Linked DNA regions of Astyanax mexicanus. The protein of the gene in region 1 interacts with the protein of each later gene in a pairwise test. Links are inferred from orthologs where the notes say so. Each region holds a gene or a part of one and is shown in the gene's direction. Other genes may lie near its edges.

Region 1 (7,506 bases):
CATGATGCGTTCACCCAGGCGGATGGTCCAGTGGCCTGAGCCTGTGTCTCCCTTTCTCTCTCTTTCTTTCTCTCTCTCTCTCTATCTCTCGCTCTCTCATAGCTCGTAGTGTGGTTTATCTCATCAGAACTCACTCCATGTTTTATGCTCTCATTGGCTGTAGCTAGTCACTGCGCTAACTTCCAGTCACAACATTTTGCATACTATCAAATTTAGAGTTATTGACTGGTCCAGATATCAAACCTGCTAGATATTTGTTGAGGGCTCACTTGGCAAGTTATGGAATGGCATCTATCAGCCTTTTGCCAACATAGCTAGTGCAGCCTGCGCTCTGAATTACTGTTCTCTATGATTTTTAAAAACTGTTTTAATGTTTACACTCACCAAGCACTTTTCCTTTGCTTAAAACAATCTCAGTTTATCATAGCCTGTATTCTGCAAGAAGTTGACAAGAAGTCTTTTCTTTTGAGATTCTGGTTCATGATGACATTAATTGATTACACTTTTTCTGCAAAAAAAGTATTTTCAAGCTACACATCTCCTCCTCTGTCATATCTCAAAGATATTCAACAAAGTTTAGGTCTTGTGACTGAAGAAACCTTTGGAAACCGGTTAAAACCGGTTTGATGGTGACATTTGCTTTGTGATATGGTGCATCATCATACAGGACGAAGCCTTTTTGTTGGGGGAAAATTGTGGCCATGAAGGGATGCACATGGTCAGCATCAATATTCAAATATTCTGTTACATTTGAGTGATAATGAATTGGTATTAATTAGCCTAAAGTATGCCAAGAAAATTTTCACTTCTTTATACCACATCCGTCAGCCTGGACTGTTAATATAAGGGAGGTCTTACGCCACCACCTGGCTGTTTTAGCAGAAATCAAGATTCATCAGACCTTGTCTTCAGTCTTCATGCCACAGTTTGCCAAGTCTTCAACTTTCCACAAGTCTGTGCCTATGGTAGCTTCAGCGTTCTTAATAGAAATGTATCTCAGTGTGGTCTTTTTCTGTTGTTGCCCATCATCTTCAGAATTCAACATGGTTAGCATTCTATGAAATGCTTCTCTGCTCCCCAGAATAATTACCTTAGTTACTATAACCTTTCTGATACTCATTTTAAAACAGGACACTTTTTTGCCATAGCTGGGAGGAGTGAAATATCTTTAAATGTGGCCTGATTGTCACGTTGTGTAGTCTTGGATTTAGAGACCAAAGGCCAGCATGCACCTGCTTGGACCCAGTGACCCTTGGAAGCCATGCTCAACACTTTTCTGAAATCCCAGCCAAGCTGCATAGTTCAGTGCCTCAGTGCACTGTGCTCAGAGCTGGCATGAGATCAAGGGAGAAGGGTCCTGCCATCCAGGATTCATGGGGAAAAATAACCTATTATAGATGCATGGCATGACTGTGCTTTAGTCAACAGTCTTTCTTACACTGGCAGATGTTTTTGCTTGATCAGCCAAAGAGGGAATGAGAGAACAAGGGAACAAAAAAATCCCAAATTGACTGAAGTTCCCGCAGCTAGGTTTTCAGAGTCGATAAAGACATTGCGTTGCTGGAGCCTTGCTGGAGATAACTGTGTTGTGCCTTTTTAAATGGAAAACGAGCAACAAGCAACTTCTTAGATTTGGTTAGCAACTGGCACAGACCAAGCAGTACCTCTGTCAAGTTTACAATGCACTTGTCATCACTGTAGAGAGGAAGAGACAAGCAATTTAGTGTGGAGGCTTCAGAGTCCTGACATCCCGATTAAAGCTAGGACGAAAGCTGAGGTTTGACCCCATGTTGCCAAATTACTGAGTTCTGAGGCTTGGCAGACCAAATAACACTTAATGTGTGGAAAAAGCTTGGATTGAAAGAATCCCCTATAACAGTGTTTCTCTGTCATTTCTCTGTGTATTTCTCTGCCAGGCCATGACTAAAAACATTCACCTACAAGGAGCCCAGGGTTAGAAACAGAAAACCTTCATTCCAATGCTAGGATGCAGTCAAGGTAGACTGGGTTCTTGGTAAAACTGTAGCCTGTTGGTCACACAAGCTTCTTCTTGATGCCACTCGTGAACATCAGATAACCGTGTGGTGCAAAATCGTGTTCTTTTTTATTTTTTATTCCTTCAAAATGAACTCTTCTCCGAAGGCTTCATTATCTTTTAATTTTGCACACTTTGGTAACCAAAAGCCGCAAAGAACGCATCAGTTGCATTCTTCAAATCTTTCCGAACAATGAAGGGTCCCTCAGTTTGGAGCAGTCATCAGTAAGGTAGCGGCTAAGAGGTGCAGCCTAACTCAGCTGCAGCCTAGGCATTTTGTAACGCAGCTAAAATCTCTCGCAAACAGTTTCTTGCAAATGAATGTCTGATGAGTATCAAATGTTCATGTGGCAAGATCTGTAAGGGGAGAAGAGAAAGGTCTGAAGATTCATCAGTCTTGGACAAAAACCAAGGGGTGAAATGTGGTGTCACTTTGTGCAGTGGAAGAATAGTGCTTGCCCTATTCCTTTAAGGATGACTTACCAGTCATCAATGAGTAAGTGTTTGGAGGCATATGGTCTTAACAGAGCTGTAGAAGCAGAGAGGATGCACTTTCATGGCATTCATCCAGTGTCAAAGTCCCTGATGGTGTTAGCCATTCAACCCAGTCAAGGGACCAGTCCTGTTTTCCCATTTCAGGTGTAGCAATCTCTGAGAAAACTGTGAAACACTTGCAATGAATTGAAATTCATCATAGAGGAGATCACGGTTTTGAAAGCAAAGAAGGTGCTGCAACAGAGATTTAGACTAACCTAACGTCCCAGGTGTAGGAACTACTGACCAGTAGGATGTGTTGGGCAGAGGTAATGTTGGAGTTGGCAGCTATGCCATGAGAAAGATCTGGACCTTTTCAGTTCCTCCTGTAATAGTACCTGGACAAAGATGCCTGTCAACTAAGAGGGATACAACAAAACAATGGGATGAGCCAGCAAGCATGACCAAAAATTGCGTGTCTTGAATTATTACTTTCAGATCGTTCCAGGTGAAGAGAGAAAATCCACGGAAGGTTGTGACTAGCAGCAACAAGCTTCAAAGGAGTTGCCGAAGGTTCCAAAGGATTGCCATATTTAGCAACTGCTGATACCACCACACACCACATGTTGTACTACATTCACAGTCTAAATGTTTGTGTCCATACTGCTGCACAACATGCTTGCATGCCAAGGGGAGTTGGATTTCAGCAGAACATCAATTGTTTTTTCCTCTGGTTTCTTTAAAGTTTGTCTCAATCAACTAGAAAAGTGCTTTGATCAGACCAAACTCTGGTGCTTTGGTCCAAAGCCTTCTACCTTAGTTTGGACCAAATTGAAAAGTCTGAAAGTCCAGACCAGGTGTGAAAGCACTTTTAAAGTGACATGCTCCAAGGCGACGTCTTTTCCAGGGTTGTCCATGCATTTTTAACCAGATAATGCAAGACCACATGCTGCACAGATTACAAAGGCACAGGTACTGGACAAGACTAACTGCAGTCCTGACCTATCCCTTATTGCAACCATGATGACCCTGTACTGCTGCAGACCGTAAGACATGTTTGCTGGAAAACTGGGACAAATTACCACTTGAAACACTCCATTACCTTGTATCCTTGGTGCTAAAATACATTGTAAGCGTTGTGAGAAGGAATGGCTACATTAGAAACTTTATTGGGTTCATACAGTCTGCAATTAAACCAAAGTCAAAGTATGTAAAATAAACACCTTTTTTGGAACTTTACATCTTCACACCATTCCAACTTTGTTTCTGATTTGGGATTGTAGAAATTCAATTTAAAGTCATGTCTTACAGTGAATGTGGAATTTTAACAGCACTTTCTTCTGCATGATGTTTCCAGATTAGCACAATGAAGAGAGCCGACTCAGACTCGCTGCCGGCCAGTCTGTCACACACTCTTTTTAATCAACACATTACGTAATCGCACCACTGGTCCGTGACATCATTAAACTTCCACAGAGAAAAGACCCAGACAGAAGTAAGAGACCATCGGTGACTCAGATGCAGCCAAAAGTGAGTGTAACTTTGGTGCGGGGTGAGACGTACTTAAACACTCAGAGAAAAGAGTTTTCCTTGTTCACCCATATATCTCTCACTCTCTCTTTCTCTCTGTGGTGCAATCAAGGAGCTCACCAGCAGGAGGTAAAAAGAGACAAATACAATTGACATTCTCTTTCTCTCCCTCCCGGCCTCCCTCCCTCCCTCCCTCTCTCTTTTTTGCTCTCCATCAGAGATGAATAGATTTTCTGTGACTGAATGTAGCCCCCAGTTCACCACACACACCCCGGAGACTGAGAAAGAGAGAAAAGGAACAGGTCAGGAGACGCCACAAACAATACACACACACCCTGTCCACCCCTCACACCCCTCCTTTTCACTCTCTCCCTCTATGCCCTCTCTCTACCCCTTCCTCCACCTCCTCCATCCCTCCCACTGGACCCTCTCACTCAGTCCCTCACTCCCTCGCTCTCCCTCACCCTCTCCCTCACACTCTCTCTCAATATAAAAGCCTTCTTTCCCTGGTGTTCAACCCCATTTGCCCCAACATGGAGAGCCAGCGTGTTCTCTCTTCTTACCGCAAGCGCTTCGGGCCTCAGGGCTCCACCGGGTCCCCTGCCCTGTCCAGCCGCCTAAGCACTGGCCGCCTGTCCCTCCACAGCACCCCTCGCCACCTGACCCTGTCCAGCCCGGGAGCCCTGTCCACCTCCCGGCTGTCCCTCGGTGGCGAGCGGCTGGACTTCTCGGCCGATTCTCTGCTGAAGGCACAGTACCGGGAGACTCGCACCAACGAGAAGGTGGAGATGATGGGGCTGAACGACCGCTTTGCCAGCTACATTGAGAAGGTGCGCTTCCTGGAGCAGCAGAATAAGATGCTGGTGGCCGAGCTGAACCAGCTGCGGGGAAAAGAGCCCAGCCGCCTGGGGGACATCTACCAGGAGGAGCTGAGGGAGCTGCGGAGGCAGGTGGACGGCCTCAATGCAGGGAAGGCCAGGCTGGAGATTGAGAGGGACAACCTGGCGGCTGATCTGGTCACACTCAAACAGAGGTAGGATGAGCTTAGTCGACTGTATAGTTAATTAGTTGAAGGCCAATTGTAGTCCTGGAGGACCTTTAGCTTTAGCAGTGCTCTAGTTTTCCCTGTTCTGACAGGCTCACTTCAACAAGTAAGGGCTTACTATTAAATTAATTACCTAATTTAGAAAAAGAACATCCGACAAACATGTAACAATTGGTAAGAGAGGAATAAAATGGGGGAAGAACACAGAAATAGAGTTGAATTTGTACTTTGATTTTGTTTTATTTCAATATTTGAATTAATATCAGGTTCTTAACCCAGGGGTTGCGACCCACAAGCAGGTCCTGACATAGTCCTTAGGGGGTTGAAGGGGGTCACAGAGAGAAAAAGGTTAAGAACCCCTGTTTTATACTATATAAACAGTGGCCTCGGAAACTTTTTGGAAAGAAAATTTTGTTAGGAAAGAAAATTGTGTTTTATTACTGTTTGTTTGGAAGACACATTTTTTTTCAAAATGAAGTTTTTGAGGGTTTACCTGCATCCAAAATACATTTGTATGCTTCAGAGTTCATACAAGCAGTATACACAAGCTTATTGGACAGACAAATGGTTAAAGTGTCCAAACACCTTAGAGTCCAAATGTTGCTACATATCTTCTTGTTTGTCCTAAACTTTAGTCTGTACAAGTTTGCTTCAAGCTAAACTTACGGTGCATTTCTGTGCGCTCAGTCATGGCTCTAATCCAAGCCAATACTCAAAAAACCAGGGGAGCTTTAAGGGTGGCAGATGGATGGATTGTAAAGGAATTCTCTGAGGTCAGCAGGGATGCCAAAGAAATGCGACTATTCAAATGGAGCTCTTTGAATTGTGCCTGAAAGTTGCCACAGCAACGGGTGGGCTGAGAGGCAACCATATATAGGCTGGGCATTATTTCAGCTATAAATTCTGATACTCTGATTGAGTGCATGCGGATTTATAGCTTCGTAATGGCAGAATTCTTGCAAGGATTTTCATCCATCCACCCATCCATCCAGGCATCCATTAATTTATTCATTCATTCATATTCACTTGCCTTTCTTTTCCAGCATGAGTTTCTTCTTCTTTATCCCTCCTCTTTCCAGAGGCGGGAAAAGTGGGGGCAGGGAAGGACACAATAGTTCCTCTGCTAAACCCTTAAAAGTGCTGTGCAGATGTCTTTTTGTCCTGGAAAAAAACATTTTTTAACCAAATGTCTCCTAAACAATTAGCTGCTGACTCACAGTAGGCGTGTTAGCATTAGCCATGCCCCAACCACCACCAGAAACCTGTTTTCTCTCAAACCAGACAGAAGTTATCTGAACCTTCCTCCTTTTTTAGAGCTATAAGGCTAATGTAGCTAACAACCTGACCAGGTTTATACGTCACATTTAGCGCTGTTGTTGTTAAGCCTTAATTACCAATCCCTGCCAGACCAGGGAATAGAACTGGCAACATACTGGTCCCAAGCCCATAACTCTTACTTTTAGACCATGCCTGCTTATTTTAGTGAATTTGTGAATTATTCAAATTACTGTTCTAATGCGTTTTCCAAAAAAGTTGCATATAAGGTTAAAAGAGGCTACTTACTATTCGTAAAAAAATGTGTATCACTTTAAATGGAGCTGTCTGATTACAAATAAAAAACTAAAGTTGTTATGTAAATCAAAAAAAAAAAATCAAAATTTTGATCGAGAATTGTCCATTTATATATGCAGCTATGGAAAAAAAATAAAAAGACTACTTAAAAATCATGATTTTACCAAATTAAAAACCTCTGGAATATAATCAAGGGGAACATGGATGATCACAAGCCATCAAACCAAGCTGAACTGATTGAATTTGCACACCAGGAGTGGCACTATCCAAAAGCAGTGTGTAAGACTGGTGGAGGAGAAAAGGCCAAGATGCATAAAAACTGGGATTAAAAACCAGGGTTATTCCACCAAATATTGATTTCTGAACTCTTAAAACTTTATGAATATGAATAAGTTGTCTTTGCATCTGAAAGCTCTGCATCTTTTTTGTTATTTCAGCCCATTCTCATTTTCTGTCAAAAATATATATATATATTTTTTTACAATTTGACTAAAGAAATTTGAACACGTTCTGTTTCTACTTGTATTAAATGTGGATGAGATCTTTCTCTGACCATATCCTTATGATTTTAACCTATTGTTGGACTTTGCTGTAATATGGATTAACTTGAGCAGCCGTTGTAATTCAATGTATGACTTTTAAACGTGAATTAGTAGAGTCTAATGTAGGGGTACACTGAAACTTTGGATTCATTAGGATTGTTCTGAGGTAAATATATGACTAAAATTGCACTGCTGAGGTAAATGTACTGTGCTTTATTGGTTTGCCTGCTGGTATACTAAAAATGTTTGCCAACTTTAAAAAAAAAGACAGTAGTAAATGTAATAGGAACCTGCCAAAAAGCATATTC
Region 2 (7,391 bases), on another chromosome or scaffold:
AGTATGTATGTGCAAATGTATGCATATCTTTCTTGTATGGAGAGATATTAGTGCAAAATTAAAAAGCAAACACTATCGTGGAAAAACTACAATCTGCAAAATGCATTCTGTATAACATACAGAATAAATGCCAAACTGAAATGTAAAACCACTATTTCATTACACTTCACTGCATCTGATCTTTATTAAAAAATCTGTTCTTAAAACAATACACAAGAATTTACATTTTCAAAACCAAATGCTGAATTGTTTTAGAATTGCACACAAAACTTTTACAATGCTCAACTGCATGTTATTCCACTGTGTGGCGCTGTGACTGTTCGTAAGAAAATCACAATGCACAGGATTGCATTTCGTCTAGGAGCAGCGCAGAATCTGTGCCTAAATGAAATGTAATCGCTGTCCAATCAGAAACCACTACTAAACTTGGGCGCTCACTCTGGACCAATTCTACCAAAGCCCTGGAGAAAGCACACACAGGTTTGGAAAAAACCCAGTGTAAAAAAATGCCCCAAGTTTGAAAACTGAGCCTGTGTTAAAATCTACTAAACTTTGAACACAGTTCTTTCTCATTAGCATTTTATGGTTATAAGCACAAGGGTTCACATAATTTTTCCACAAACACTATAACATGTTTATGGATGTTCTTAATAAAGAAATAAATGTTTATATGTTTTGAGGCACATTATATTTCTTAATACTCTTGACTGAGATCAAGGTAAGATCACATTTTATGACAAATTTATGCAAAAAAAACATGAAATTCCAAAGAGTTCGCAAAGTTTTTTTTTGCCAATGTACTTACAGAGAACACATTTCTGCATATTCCATTTACAACCCCTGTTTTTTTTACATTTCTGGGAAAAATAAAGTAAGCATAAAAAAGTGGTGAAAATTTCTGTATTTTTTTCAATATTTTAAATTCAGTGATAGATTTATTGAATAATTGCGTTGTATGGTCAGCCCTTCATAAGTTGCAGTAGTAAAAAAAAAAAAAAGACAAATAATGTATTACTTGGTGATAAGTATGTACTAGATAGACTAGATAGTTGAATGTCCTTTAGGTACTTTATTATTATTAATAATAATATAATACCGTATACTGGCCATGGTCCTGCTAATGCTGGTTGAGTTCTAGGCATATTTTGGTCGTTCATTAGAACTGGCTCATCAATACTTGGCATTATGTGTCAAGTGGGCCAAATGAAATAAGTTAATGTGGGTCAGATTTAGCACAGGTTGGTTTTCCAGGTCTTACTTCTAAAAAAAGTAGGAAGTTATGTTCTGAGTTGAGGAGAAAATCACTGGCTCCCTATAGTGGACACTGAGAGACGATGCAGTCCTTACACAACAGCCACGGCTGGCTTTCCTGAAAATATGATTTAACATAATGTGGAGCCTCCACAATAATAATAATAATAATAATAATAATAATAATAATAATTCTATATTTTAATAGATTAAGACCTTTTGGCCTCAGGGTCTCAGGCTCAGCAGTATAAATCCTCTAGCCCACACTAGAGGAGTTCATGAGTGAATAAATCCCTTTAATATTACTTGGATTTCTGCATAAATTGGTCATTAAATGTGTTTAATGTGTTTAATATCAGAAATGAGCAGCGTATTAAAGTAAGTTTCATCAATATTAAGTTAAATTAAAGGTTACAAATCTAGAAAAGATATTAAATAATAAATTAAGCACTTAGTATCATTTATACCTTTCAGTTCTTTGGAATAAAGGTGTTCAGCAGTCTCTTCAAGGTTACTGCAGCATATTCAGCTGCTGCTCAATAATTAAAGGGTATTGAAAAGACAGCCCACTCAGGCATGTTATTGCTTTAGTGAGTGCGGTGTGTGTGTGTGTGTGTGTGTAAAGCACCTCTCTGAGCTGCTAAGGATAAGAATTTGTGGATCACTCTGTTCAATTGATTCTGAAATGTGAAGTTTCAATTATTTGAGACTGAAAATGTATTATGATGTCAGTAAGTCTCTCACTGAGGGCAACGCTGTATTTAAAGGTTAGACAGTATTAAACAGTATTGAAGTGTGTTGAGTGTTGGTGAATGCAGATTAATATACACTGAACAAAAATATAAATGTAACATTTTGGTTGAACTCAAATATCTACTTTTCCTCTGTACACAAAATACGCTGTAATTTTGCTCATAATTGGGTCTAAATCTGTGTTATAAGTGAGCACTTCTCTCACTTTTGCTGAGATAAACCATCCACCAATCACAGGTGTGGCATATTAAGATGCACAGTGATTATTACACCTGTGTAATAATCCCTGTGTCTAATCAGCATCTTGATATGCCACACCTGTGACTGGAGGATGGTTTATCTCAGCAAAGAAGACACAGATTTAGACCCAATTGTGGTCACAATTTGAGAAAATAAAGGTCTTTTGTGCACAGAGGAAAAGTCTTAGATCCTTTGAGTTTAGCTTATGAAAAATGGGAGCAAAAGCAAAAGTGTTTATATTTTTGTTTAGTGTATTTGAAAAAAAAAGGCAGGTTTATTCAGTATTTTCAGTTTATGTTTTTCTGCTGTAGAGATGCATAAAAAAACCCAGTCAACACTCTGGTTTAGTTGTAAATAAATTGTTTTATTCCAGAACCAAAACTTGTGTCTCAATGTTCTCAAGCTTGCCTTGGAGAGAGAGGGTTTCCTGACTTGTGTCATCGTCTTCTCTCCCTAGTTGTGGAGCTAAGAAAAAATATTTACCCCTTTACTTTTTTATTATGTTTTTGCTTTTTTACTATACTTACATTAATACGATTATCAAACAAATTTAATATCAGAGAAATAAACCTGAGTAAACACAGAAAAGATGTTTTTAAATTATGAAATACACCTTAAAACAAGATCCCAGTCTGCTTCTCTTGCAGCAAAAAAAACAGTTCAATCTTTACTGCTTTCTTATTTTTTTGCTTTTTTCATACTTACATTATTCCGATTATCAATCAAATTTAATATCAGAGAAATAAACCTGAGTAAATATAAAAAAGCTGTTTTTAAATGATGAAATGCACCTTAGAACAAGATCCCAGTCTGCTCCTCTTTCAGCCCAAAGACCAGTTCAATCTTTACTGCTTTCTTCTTGTTTTTGCTTTTTTTTTTTATCATACTTACATTATTCCGATTATCAAACAAACTTTAATATCAGAGAAGTATAACCTGAGTAAATACAAAACAGCTGTTTTTAAATGATGAAATGCACCTTAGAACAAGATCCCAGTCTGCGTCTCTTTCAGCACAAAGACCAGTCGAAAACTTTGCCTTCAGATCCACATTGAGCAGTTTGTGGTCTGTGTTTACTCTGCAAAAGAAAGACTGTAGACACATAGTGTTAAATCTCATCCTTGAATGTTGGAACATTATTCCCACCGAGAGAAACGTTAGCTGAGCTGTTCTCAGCATGATATCAGGATTAAACCACAGCTTGTCTGCTAATTTAAGGATCTGTGGGTTTGAGAGGACCAAAAGATCAAAAGCATGATGTTTAAAAGGTTCAGCCTGAAGGTTCAGCACAGCATTCTGCTTCTGTTCTGGCCAATTAGTTCTTCATACTTTGTGTTAAAAAATAAAAAGCTTGATATGAAATATGATAGGTATTTGTGAGCAGAGAATTAATTAAATAAATCAACTATCCAACAATAAAAATGCCTCTGTTATCTTAAAAGAGAATGTAAAAAATCTGAAATGTAAAAAGAGAATAATAAGATTTTATTAATTCTAACTGGTTTAAAATAAAATTTATTTAAACGCAAAATTTGAATGTTAAATTGTGTGTATTTGAGCAGGATAAACTGTTTTTAATTCTGTTGATTTGTGAAGAAACATGTAATCCTGTAATGTAATACACATGAAAATTCTGCAGCCCAAATTATTCTGCTGAAAAGTGCCTTTGTTTTTCAGATGAATAAGTGAAAAGACTGAATAATTTATAACAAACACCAGCGTTTTTGATGACGCAAATAAATTGCTATTTTTCTGAGCTGGATTACTCGTTGATACTTGATGACAGGTCAATGGCAGACATTTTTTGTTTCTCACTTCAGTTCAGAACATTTAAAGCACTTGAATAGTTCATTTAAATGAACAGAATTAGAAATAGTACCGTGTCACTTCTGCCCTCAGCCTCCATAGACTCTCATCCTAACTCAAATCCTTCCTAAAGTTTATGATTGCTGCAGTTTACAGGGTTGATCAGGATTATTCACAGCAACAGTGGGAAGAGGCGTTCAGCCACGAGATGTGGTTAAATAACTCACTCTTTAAGTAAACCTTTGGCCTGTCAAAGTCCGGTACAGACTTACACACAGATAGATAGATAACATCTGTAAGAAGAGGCAAGAACCTCCTTTCAGTACGGACTTCCACAGGACCTGAACAGGTGAGTAGCATCTACCTGACCTGCAGAGAATTATTAGAATCTATAACTGTGATACCTTCAAAAGTGCATCAGTTTGTTATTTCAGTTTTTAATTTTCAATCTCGATATCATTATCATGCTCTATTTGTTCTAATTGCTGACTTTAAATTTTAGTATGCTGTGAATAATTCCCCCCTTTTATATTATTGTCCTGATCATATTAAGCTCCAAAAAATACATATAGTTTATACACAGTCAAAGCTGGTATCTGTAGAATTGCTGTAATTAATGAAAGCTGCATCTAGCAATCAGGCAAATATGTTCAGAGGTCAGTATCAAATAATTTTTTTGTATTGGATTTTTATTAATTAGAAAACAAATCGAATTATAGGCTCTATAATCATAAATTGCTATGATTATAGAATACATCACCATGCAATCTGAAAATATCATAACTGATCGAGAGCTATAGTAACGTTGGTTAGTTATGGGTGAGGTATTACGTAATCTCTGATGGATTTTAAAATGATGATAATGCATAGGGCATATCATTAGTGTTAAATGAAAAACAAGTATCTCCATTTTTGTTGATTTTTAGGTTATACAGAATTTGAAAACCGAACTTTTCCTTAAAATGCATCAATTTTTTGATAAAGATCCTGAAAGAAATTCTGCAACATTACCTGAAATAAACTTTTTTTTTTATTTCCATTGAAAGTTAAGGTTTTGGGATCTCTCTTTCCCTTAAAGTTGCTTTTTTGGAAATGCATGTTTTTTTATTGGACAGCATTGATATGTCCAGTGCTAAATTCATATTTCTTGTATTATAGCTTAGTGTAATAAACTATATTAAATATTTTGTCATTCTTCAAGAAAACAATGTATTTTGATCGAAGTATTCTGAAAATGTAAAATTTTTGTGACAGTTATAATATAAAAATCTAGATGACATTTCACACATGCCTCTTCTCTCTTTCTTCACGCTTGGTAAAAATGGCTATTGACATTTTTTTTATTGCGGAGGCAAAGTGCATTCGCTCCAGCAAAGAACGCACTTTACCATCGCACCTCCAGTTTAACAATTAACGATCCGAGAGCAAGAGTACATTCTGTGAATGTCAGCATATTATCTTCTTATTAAACCTGCATGTCTTCAGTCTGGATAGGGATTTTATGGCTCTGGATAATTGCTATGATTTGCACATCTCAAATTACTCACAGTTATCTCTGTACAGCCTCAGGAAGAGATTCATCAAAAATTATATTTAACTGTATATCACTGTATATACGTTACGTATACAAGCCTGTCTGGTCCACCTGTCCATGTTTTTACTGTAATTGCTATAAATTGTACTATCAGTAATGTGGGCCTAATTTAGTACGATATTCCACTGATTTTAGTGGTTGTAAAGTGACTGGTTGAGTAATTTATGGATATTATAATAATGTCACATAATCCAAAGTACATTTAAAGTACATTTAATCTTTAGTGACTTTGGTTGGAGAATAAATATATTATCTATATTTCTTTGCAGTTTTATTTCTCTGCATTAAGTCTAGGTGTTTTTCTTTATTTCCCTTTATTTAATACAGTCAGGTTATAAGTTATGGGAGGGTTATAAGAATGTAAGCATTCTTTTAAAGTATAAAAAAATTAAACCTTAAATTATATGCTGCACCTTGACAGTATCTTTTCTTAGGATTTTTATTTGTATGTTTTTGGACATTGCATGAATGCATAATTATAATATATAAAGATACAAATTAATAATAATAAAATAATGAAGTCCATTCTTTCATTATTGTGAATGTTTATTTATGAATCTATACTTTTCCGCAGTGTTACGTTAAAGAGATTTAAATGGTGATGTAAGAACACCATTCACCACACCCCGCTGATAAACTTACACTTTTATAGCAGCTTGTGTTGTAAAACAATTTGGCAGGTATGGAATGATAATGCTGGTTATCATTAAGATTAGATATAAACTGTAAAAGGGCACCGAAAAGGTGTGCAATCACTTGCTGGAGGACTTAAAGGGAAGGTCTGGCACTTTTTTTTATAGTTTTTACACTTTTTCATGTAATTATTTATATAAAGGTAAAATCAGTTAGATATCTGTGTGAAAAATCATGTGAAATTAAAATTGTGAATTACGAGAAAAAATACTTTGAAAGATAATTTGAATTATTTACAGTGATGGTCAGAAAAAAAACATTCTCTAAAAAGCTGTTAATGAATCTAATTAATGCCCAAAAAAACTATTTTACACTAGTTGGATTTATTAATAGCTTTTTAGAGAATGTCTTTTTTTCTCATGACCATCACTGTAAACAATTCAAATTAGACAAAAATGGTTACAGAAATGTTGTGAAAAAAAAAACAAAAACAAAACAGAGACATTGTTTTAGAACAGTTTTAAAACTTTTGGCCTTTTTAGCAATTTTTCTTAGCAATTTTTAATAGGCATACATGTTAATTTTATTAACATGAAATTTACGGTATAAATATATAATAAATAAAAATAAAAAAAAGAAGTGCAGGTGTACTGGTGACAATTAAAAAGGTAATTTTTGTGTTTTAGGGCTCACAACCCCTGGTTCTTTTCACCACCATCTAAAAGACGTCTGACTCAGTAAGTTTCTCCAGTATTGTCTAAATCATCTAGTTATGCAGATTTTTTTTTACATTTTATATTTTTAACATAATTTTTTTCCCACCAATTTATCAGAATTATTAGTTAAATTTAGTTTAATTTCTATTTTAACTATATACTTTTTCTCCATTAGGAAACATGTCTGTGCCCAAACCTCGAGTGATCTCTCTCAATAAGCGTGAGGGTCAAAGCTATGGCTTCTTCCTGAGGATTGAACAGGGTGAGGATGGTCATCTGATCCGGGCCCTGGAGATGGGTGGTCCTGCAGAGCTGGCAGGGCTGAAGGATGGAGATCGCATCGTCAGAGTCAACGGCACTTATGTTGACAACCTGGAACACAGCCAGGTATAAAGTTA
Region 3 (7,404 bases), on another chromosome or scaffold:
TCAGACAAAAAAAATTGTCTAACAAGATTTTAATTTTATTATTATTTCTCTTTTATCTGGCTGGAATGGGCTTCCAGACTTTGTCAAACTGTCTGACAGCTTACTTTACAGCATTTGATCAATACTTAGTTTTTTATTGCCACTTCAAAGTATTCTCACATGGAAAATTGTCCCTGTTGCACAAAAACCTTGATACTTCAAATTTTCAGATTTTTATGTTTGGGCATAGTGTGAATCTGGCAGTTTTCCAATTTTCCAATACAACAGACCAAGAAAAATGCTTAAAAAATCTTCATTTACTGACTTTCCACTGAAAGTTAAAAGGATTTTCCTTCTCTTATTGAAGACATCAAATATTTGTGTCATAAGAAGAAGAAATACCTGTACCACAAGGGTACACTCTCCCACTTGTCCCCCAATTTTTCACATAGGATTAAACTCATGTTTTTTTATTAACTACTTGATTAATCGGAATTTCATATATGCATTTTTTATACAGAGCTGTTACTACAGGCGTAGAGGGGAGATTTACATTGGAGGCATCAAATCCCACAAGTACAATAATAATCGTTGTCTGGTGGATCCTGGGGAAGGACACACACCGGGACTGCATGACTGCAAAATAGCCAAGGAGAAAGGGTTACACATGCACTGGGACTTTAAACAGGTATGTACTCTGCTGAACGGGTTAACTGATGACAGGAAGCTTTGTAAATTAGTGGAATTTGGTTAAGTGGCCAAACATTAACCTGCTGAGTGAAACAGGAATAAAGATGGAGCACTTTTATATTAAAGGGCCATCCTAAAGCCAAGGAAAGTTGAAGAAAGCAAACAGGATTTAGATTTAAAGTCCAGCCCTGTTACATATTTGCCACCCATAGCAGGACATCCCTGATAATTATCCCTGATTGCCTTATAATCTATTGTGCCTTGTGTAAGAAAATAGACCAAAAAATAGACGTTTATTGACAGGGCGCCTTATAGTGCGAAAAAGTCTATACATTTTATTCATTTTTCTCCAAATAATTTCATAATGTACTTATAAGACTTTGACACAATGATCTGAGGAGATCGCTGGTTTGAATCCTGGATCTTGCTGCTTGCCATTAGAAAAGAATCTAAAAGTGTGCAATCAGTCTAGCTCTCTCAGGGCTTAGTTTGAGTTCATTTCTTTTCTCACCCCTAGTGTGATGTGTGTGTAGCATTTTGGCTACCCAGAGATGTGTTGGGGCATTGCCAGTGAGAGCGAGAGCTTATAGGAAAAAGGGTTGTGTAATTAGCCTTCCAAACTGCCTCGAAAATTATCCATAAATCTTAAAATGATTCATTTATGTATTTATATGTGTACTTGATGTTTTAAGTACTAAGATTTAATATTAATGAATTTTAATCAATGTCTATTTAATTATCTCTCTTTGCTTTACCTACAGGGTCAGGCAATCAAAAACAGAGACACAAAAAGGTGTCTTGAGATCGCCCAAGGAGCTGATTCATATTACCATCTTATAATTCAGGACTGCACTGGACAACACTGGACAATACAACATTTGATACAAAATGCTTAGCAATCTTAAAAGAGCCCAAAAAAAAAATCTAATTTTCAAATGTCTCCTATTCGTCTAACTTATCAGTGATATTTTTGATGGTTTAATAGCACAATATAATCGCAAAATATATTCCCATTATTGCTGTTATTTTTGCACAGAATGGGATTTACTGTTGTGTACATGTGAACAGTTTTACAGAACTGTGTTGAGTTACTGAACATTGGTATTTTTGAAGGGTTTACTTATGTTTTATTGAAATTGAATTCCCTAGAGGAAAAAATGTATTTAGTGTTGGGCGTGGAAAGAATAAAGTGTTATTTGAATGTTTACCTCTTCTCATTCAAAGTGTTTTCTTTCTTTTTATGAATGAAAATGTTTTCCATTTTAAATTTAATATTGAAATTGAATAAGAAGGTGTGTCCAAACTTTTGAACTTTTTGGTGCTGTATATTCACCCTGAATTTCTTTCTAAACTTTTTGAAAATGATATTTGAGCTAGCTGGGCATTTTCACTTGATGGCAGGTAACGATAGTCTGCTGTAAGTTGTAATAGTGCACTAAATGTATAGTTTACTAAACATTTCTTTTCCAAATTAATAATTTATTAGAAATCTAATTACATATGTTATGTTAATCAAGTATCAAATTGTACAAATGAAATGAACATATAAGAAAAAAAGGAAAAATAAAGGTTTAAAAAAAACATCTTAAAATGTTTAGAGAGTTATTTTTGTTGAGATTTGATTCTGTAACAGTTCCCTCTATCCCTGCTCCTGAAGAGCTGCCTTCACACATCACACTTCAGATCCAACCCCTTCTGACCCAAATAAAGACTGTCTTTAAAATCCCTTGATTGAATAATTGGGTTTGATTTGGGCTGGAGTGAAAACCTGCAGAAAATCTGTTCTCAAGAAGATCTGCAATAAAGTGCAATAAAGCAGCTTTAGAAAGATGGGCTATGGATCCCCCTAGTGATCAAGCCAGAAATTACACTGGCAAAAAAATCATTTAGAGAGGAACCAAGACTCCACAGAAGAAACCATCCTCGTGTGGTCGAAACTGGATAGATTTATGGATGGATTTATTTATTAATTAATAATTAATAATTTATTATAAATAATTTAATTATTAGGGCGTGGTTTATGGTAATGTATTCACAGCTGTTTTTAAAAGTCCTCACTGGACTCTATTGCACACTGCGTAATAGAGGTAATTACTACCTCACTGGTCTTTTTTGCACACTGCATAATTTGCACACTGTCTTGATATTTATTATTCTTTGTCTGTGTGTTGTATTGTCTGTCTGCACTTTTGTACTGTTGCACTTTTTGTTCTGTCTACACTGTGTTTATGTGCACCATGGTCCCTGGTGTACTCTGTATATAGCTGAAATGACAATAAAAAACACTTTGACTTTGACTTTGAATGAAACAAAAACAGCTATGCTGCTTGTGTTACATTTTTATAATCAGAATTTAACTTTTGGTCTAATGTGCTTTTAGGGCAGAACCACTTTTGGCAAGAATCAGGACCGTGGTGCTGTCTCCAGTGTTTGATAGAGTGGAATGTGCCACCCTGGATGTGATTAAATATGAAACGTTTGCCCATGCTTTTGACTGGCAGCTGTGGTGTATGTACGAGTCCTTCAGACCAGAGTGGTATGAACAGAACGATGGGTCAGCGCCTGGGAGGTAAGAGACTCTATCTAGACAATCAGTGGCATCAGTGTTAATTTTGACAGCTGATTTTGATTTAGTTGAATTCTTTTGACAACCCCTGAGAGCTGCTTGCTCTGTTAGCTGTGAAACAAAATGACCTTTTGGCCATGCCTTAATGGCTACGATTTAATAAACTCGTTATCATATAATATGATAAAGCAGTTATACCATCTAATGGTTTTATTAAGATTCATAATCACACAGAGCTAGTTGAGTAGTAGTGGCGCCCCCGGTGGAGAATCTCTAGTTTGCAGGATCTTCTACAGCACAGAGCAGTAAAAATAAGTGTCAGCAGAAAAAGGAAAATAGAGAGAAAGAGTTATTCAGTCTAGTGTAAATTAGACCTTCACTCCACTTTAACGAAACATTCATGCTGGTCTAAACGGTGTATATATATGTTTAAACGTGATGAAATTAGACCATTATATATTTCTAAATTCCATAATTTATCTCTATTTTTTTTACTGTATTTTTACAATAACTACTTTACATTATACAAATACATGTTTTTTTTTTCCTTTTTAGAGATGAATTGAAGATGATTTTTTTTATTTTACCCAATTGAAAACCTCTGGAATATTATCAAGAGGATATAAGGATTGATGATCACAAGCCATCAAATCAATCTAAACTGCTTGAATTTTTGCACCAGGAGTAGCGTAAAGTTATCCGAAAGCAATGTGTAAGACTGGTGGAGGAGAACATGATGCCAAGATGCATGAAAACTGATTAAAAACCAGGGTTATTCCAACAAATATTGATTGATTTTTGAACTGTTAAAACTTCTCTGCATTATTTGAGGTCTGAAAGCTCTGCATCTTTTTTTGTTATTTCAGCCATTTCTCATTATCTGAAAATAAATGCTCTACATGACAATATTTTTATTTGGAATTTGGGAGAAATATTGTCTGTAGTTTATAGAATAAAACAACAATATTCATTTTACTCAAACATAAACCTATAAATAGCAAAATTAGAGAAAATGATTCAGAAACGGAAGTGGTCTCTTATTTTGTTACAGAGCTGTATATATAAATAAGGAAAGGCAGGGGTCGCGTGCGGTTTTTATCTGGGTTGCTTAGTAACGCAGTGTTTACAGTGCTGCTGCTGCTGCTGCTGTGCGGACGGACGGAGCTGAATAGCGGAGCTGAGCTGAACCGCCGCCCGCAGACATGAACCCCGTCCAGCTCCCATCAGACCGCCTCTCAGCCGCTCACCTGGACCAGAGACAAACCCGGGAACTCCTGCGGAAAGAGCGGGTTTTTAACGCCAAACTGCGAACAATCGGAGTAAGTCTGAGCTTTAGTTCCCCGGTTATGTGATGATAATTATGAAATATATATGAGATCATGTCTATTTATTGCATGTTAAGTTGATAATGTAATTATCGTGTTTATATAGTTATCATGTAGTTAAAGGAGAAGTCTGGTGTAAAAATGGACTTGGGGTGCAGTGAAACATGATAATGAGTACACACTTTTGTCGAATAGCCCACCTCTGTTCAGCCCAGCATTCTGAAAAACAGCGCTTTTAGCCGAAGCTAAAACCAGTAAACTCAAACTCAAAGTAGCTCCACACTTCATAGGTAAAGTTCTGAGTATAAGTATTTAGAAGTATTCCGTAAAGTATCATAGAGAATTGTCTTACAATATATCGAGTTTTAAGCATTTTCAGGTTAACATTGAGAAGTGTCAGTTAACAGGAACAATGGAGATTAAGATATAGTTTACAAGACCAAAAGAAATTTCAGGAACAGGCGCTCTTGGGATTGCTAGAAAGGCAAATCAGAAGCTCTTCTTGACTGAAAAAGACCTTCTGTAAGATTTAGCAGACTCTGGAGTTAAAGGTAATGTGTTCTACTGTTCCGCAACACCTTCACAAATATGGCCTTCATGGAAGAGTCATCATAAGAAAACCAGTGATAAACCTAATAATATTTTATAAGCTTTAACATTTATGTAAAATTTTGTTGTCTTGCACTAGGTTGATAAGGAAGCTCTTGAACTTCAAGTGAAGGAAAGAAGGGATAAAGAACAAGCTGAGGCAAGAGCGCTAAAGGAATATGGTAAGATTTTGGTAAAGCTTTTAAAGATTTGCTTAATTAACTTTATTTTATGTAATAATTATTACTTGTTTATTTAAAAATACTGCAGATTCATTTTATTCTGATTTGTCTTTTTTCAGCTTCACAGGAATGTGTCGTTATTATTTTATTTTATATAAATATATTATTGTAGACCAAAATAAACCAAAAATAAAGAAACCACACAAAATACTCTTGTGTCATATCTTATACTATATCTGATCATGAAAGTATTGGCACAGCTGCTCATTCATAGATGTTTTTTTCTGGAATTAAGGGTGGTAAAAAATATAAAAAATAAAAGAGAGTTTCACTGCTTAATAGCTCAATTTTTCAGGGCTTTATACCCCTTTAGCCCACACCTGACAGGTTAAAGTTCATTTTTATCTGTGTCAGCAAGTCATCTATAAAAATGTACGTGAATGCATACATTAGAAGAGATGTCCACACATGTTTTGTGTGGTAATGTATTTAATAATAGATGTTAGAACAGACAAACAATTGATTCATTAGCAAAAAAATGCAAACCTTTGTCTGATCTTTCTGTTTTATCTTTCTTTGTCCCAAAAGTGGATAAGCTCATACGCAGTGACCAGACAGCATGCGTACTGGAGCACAGGCAGAAGAAAGATGAACGTCTGCTGGAAGAGGCCATTGTGCAGTTCCGGAGTCGTTTCCAGCATCCCAGCAGCAGACGGGAGTTCGACCTGAACGACTCTGAGTTCCTGAAGAAGCAGGACGGTGTGCGCATTTTGCCTGGGTTGGCTGGGGAGGATCTAGCCAGCAGAGACAGAGCACAGCGGCAGAGAGAGCAGCTGAGGGACTGGTCCATCCAGCAGCAGCAAGAGCTGGAGCAGACAGAAGAGCAGCAGAAACAAGAAGGTAGAGCTACACCATGTTGAACTGTGCTAGGGGCACTTTAGCACAAAATACAGTTATCTGTATTTGTGGCCCAGTGGTCTAAAGCGCTGACTCTATGATCGTGAGATCACAGGTTCGAATCCTGTTCATGCAGCTTGCCATCAGCTGCCAGAGCCCTGAGAGAGCACAATTGACCTTGCACTGTTTGGGTGTGTAGATGGCTCTATTTCCCCTCATCACTCTTGGGGTGATATCAGTCAGCACAAGGCATCTGTGAGCTGATGTGTCATAATAGAGTCGCTGCGCTTTTTTTCTAAGCACTCTGTGATGCTACTCGGCAGTTCAGTTAAAAAAGAGGCGGTGGCTGACTAAAAATGTGTCAGAGGGATGAGTAGAACTGAGTAGAAGCTAAATGGGTAGCATAATTGGCCTAGCTAAATTGGGAGAAAATGGAAAACAATGTAAATTAATTTATATAAAAAACAAAATAACGCTGATCATCTGCCGTCTTCAACAGATCTACAGTATGACCAAAGCCGAGTAGCTCTGGACAGCAGAGCTGTCGAGCTGCAAAAGATGGAGGAAGAGCACAAGAGAGCCAATACCATCGCCATCAAGAACTTCAATCTAGCTCTGGTGAGTCCAGTGTTGTAACTTTAAGTAAGAAGCCAAGTTTACAGAAAGTTCTAAATCATTGCTACTGTAATTGTCAGTATACGCATTTAAGTATAAGCCCTAAAATCATTCAGTCGGTCATTATCTACAGGCTGCCGAAAGATCTGAACAGAGAGAGAGGCAACGCCGAGAGGAAGAGGAGAACAACCAGGTGGAGATCCTGAACCAGCTGCAGGGGGAACTGCTGAACGAGAGCATCGAGCAGAGCAGCCGAGTGCCTGGACGTCCCAGACTGCGCAGGGACTGCTATAAGGGCATGACCCCCCAGCAGCTACTGCACTACAGCAACTACCAGAAGCAGCAAGCCGAGGACAGGAGGGTGAGTCACGAGTACCTTTAGGATCAAATTAGAATGTATTTATGGTTAAATCACGCACACACACACACACACACACACAAATAGTGGAAGCGCAAAATTACTGACATCTTTACAGTACAAAACAAGAAGTGAGGCGAAGAAAGTGCCTATAATAATAATAAAAATAATAATAACAATAATAATTATAACGCAGAATAACAG

Evidence for each region.
Region 2: the proteins of glial fibrillary acidic protein (region 1) and pdzk1 interact in binary tests that used the Homo sapiens proteins (3 or more experiments, as listed by UniProt). The link is inferred for Astyanax mexicanus from reciprocal best matches to the Homo sapiens genes GFAP and PDZK1.
Region 3: the proteins of glial fibrillary acidic protein (region 1) and ribc2 interact in a two-hybrid assay, tested with the Homo sapiens proteins (2 studies listed by BioGRID and IntAct). The two-hybrid records come from large-scale screens. The link is inferred for Astyanax mexicanus from reciprocal best matches to the Homo sapiens genes GFAP and RIBC2.

What each region holds. Positions count from the first base shown.
Region 1 is NC_064426.1:21,114,852-21,122,357, forward strand, and holds the start of glial fibrillary acidic protein, read left to right. Parts: upstream 1-4,484; 5' UTR 4,485-4,572; coding exon 4,573-5,072; intron 5,073-7,506.
Region 2 is NC_064418.1:9,927,808-9,935,198, forward strand, and holds the start of pdzk1 (Na(+)/H(+) exchange regulatory cofactor NHE-RF3), read left to right. Parts: upstream 1-4,338; 5' UTR 4,339-4,399; intron 4,400-6,963; 5' UTR 6,964-7,014; intron 7,015-7,168; 5' UTR 7,169-7,173; coding exon 7,174-7,380; intron 7,381-7,391. UniProt on the Homo sapiens protein: A scaffold protein that connects plasma membrane proteins and regulatory components, regulating their surface expression in epithelial cells apical domains.
Region 3 is NC_064417.1:4,634,557-4,641,960, forward strand, and holds the start of ribc2 (RIB43A-like with coiled-coils protein 2), read left to right. Parts: upstream 1-4,351; 5' UTR 4,352-4,437; coding exon 4,438-4,554; intron 4,555-5,248; coding exon 5,249-5,330; intron 5,331-5,918; coding exon 5,919-6,230; intron 6,231-6,726; coding exon 6,727-6,845; intron 6,846-6,975; coding exon 6,976-7,203; intron 7,204-7,404. Other genes in the region: probable polypeptide N-acetylgalactosaminyltransferase 8, read left to right, coding at 500-667, 1,431-1,565. UniProt on the Homo sapiens protein: Microtubule inner protein (MIP) part of the dynein-decorated doublet microtubules (DMTs) in cilia axoneme, which is required for motile cilia beating.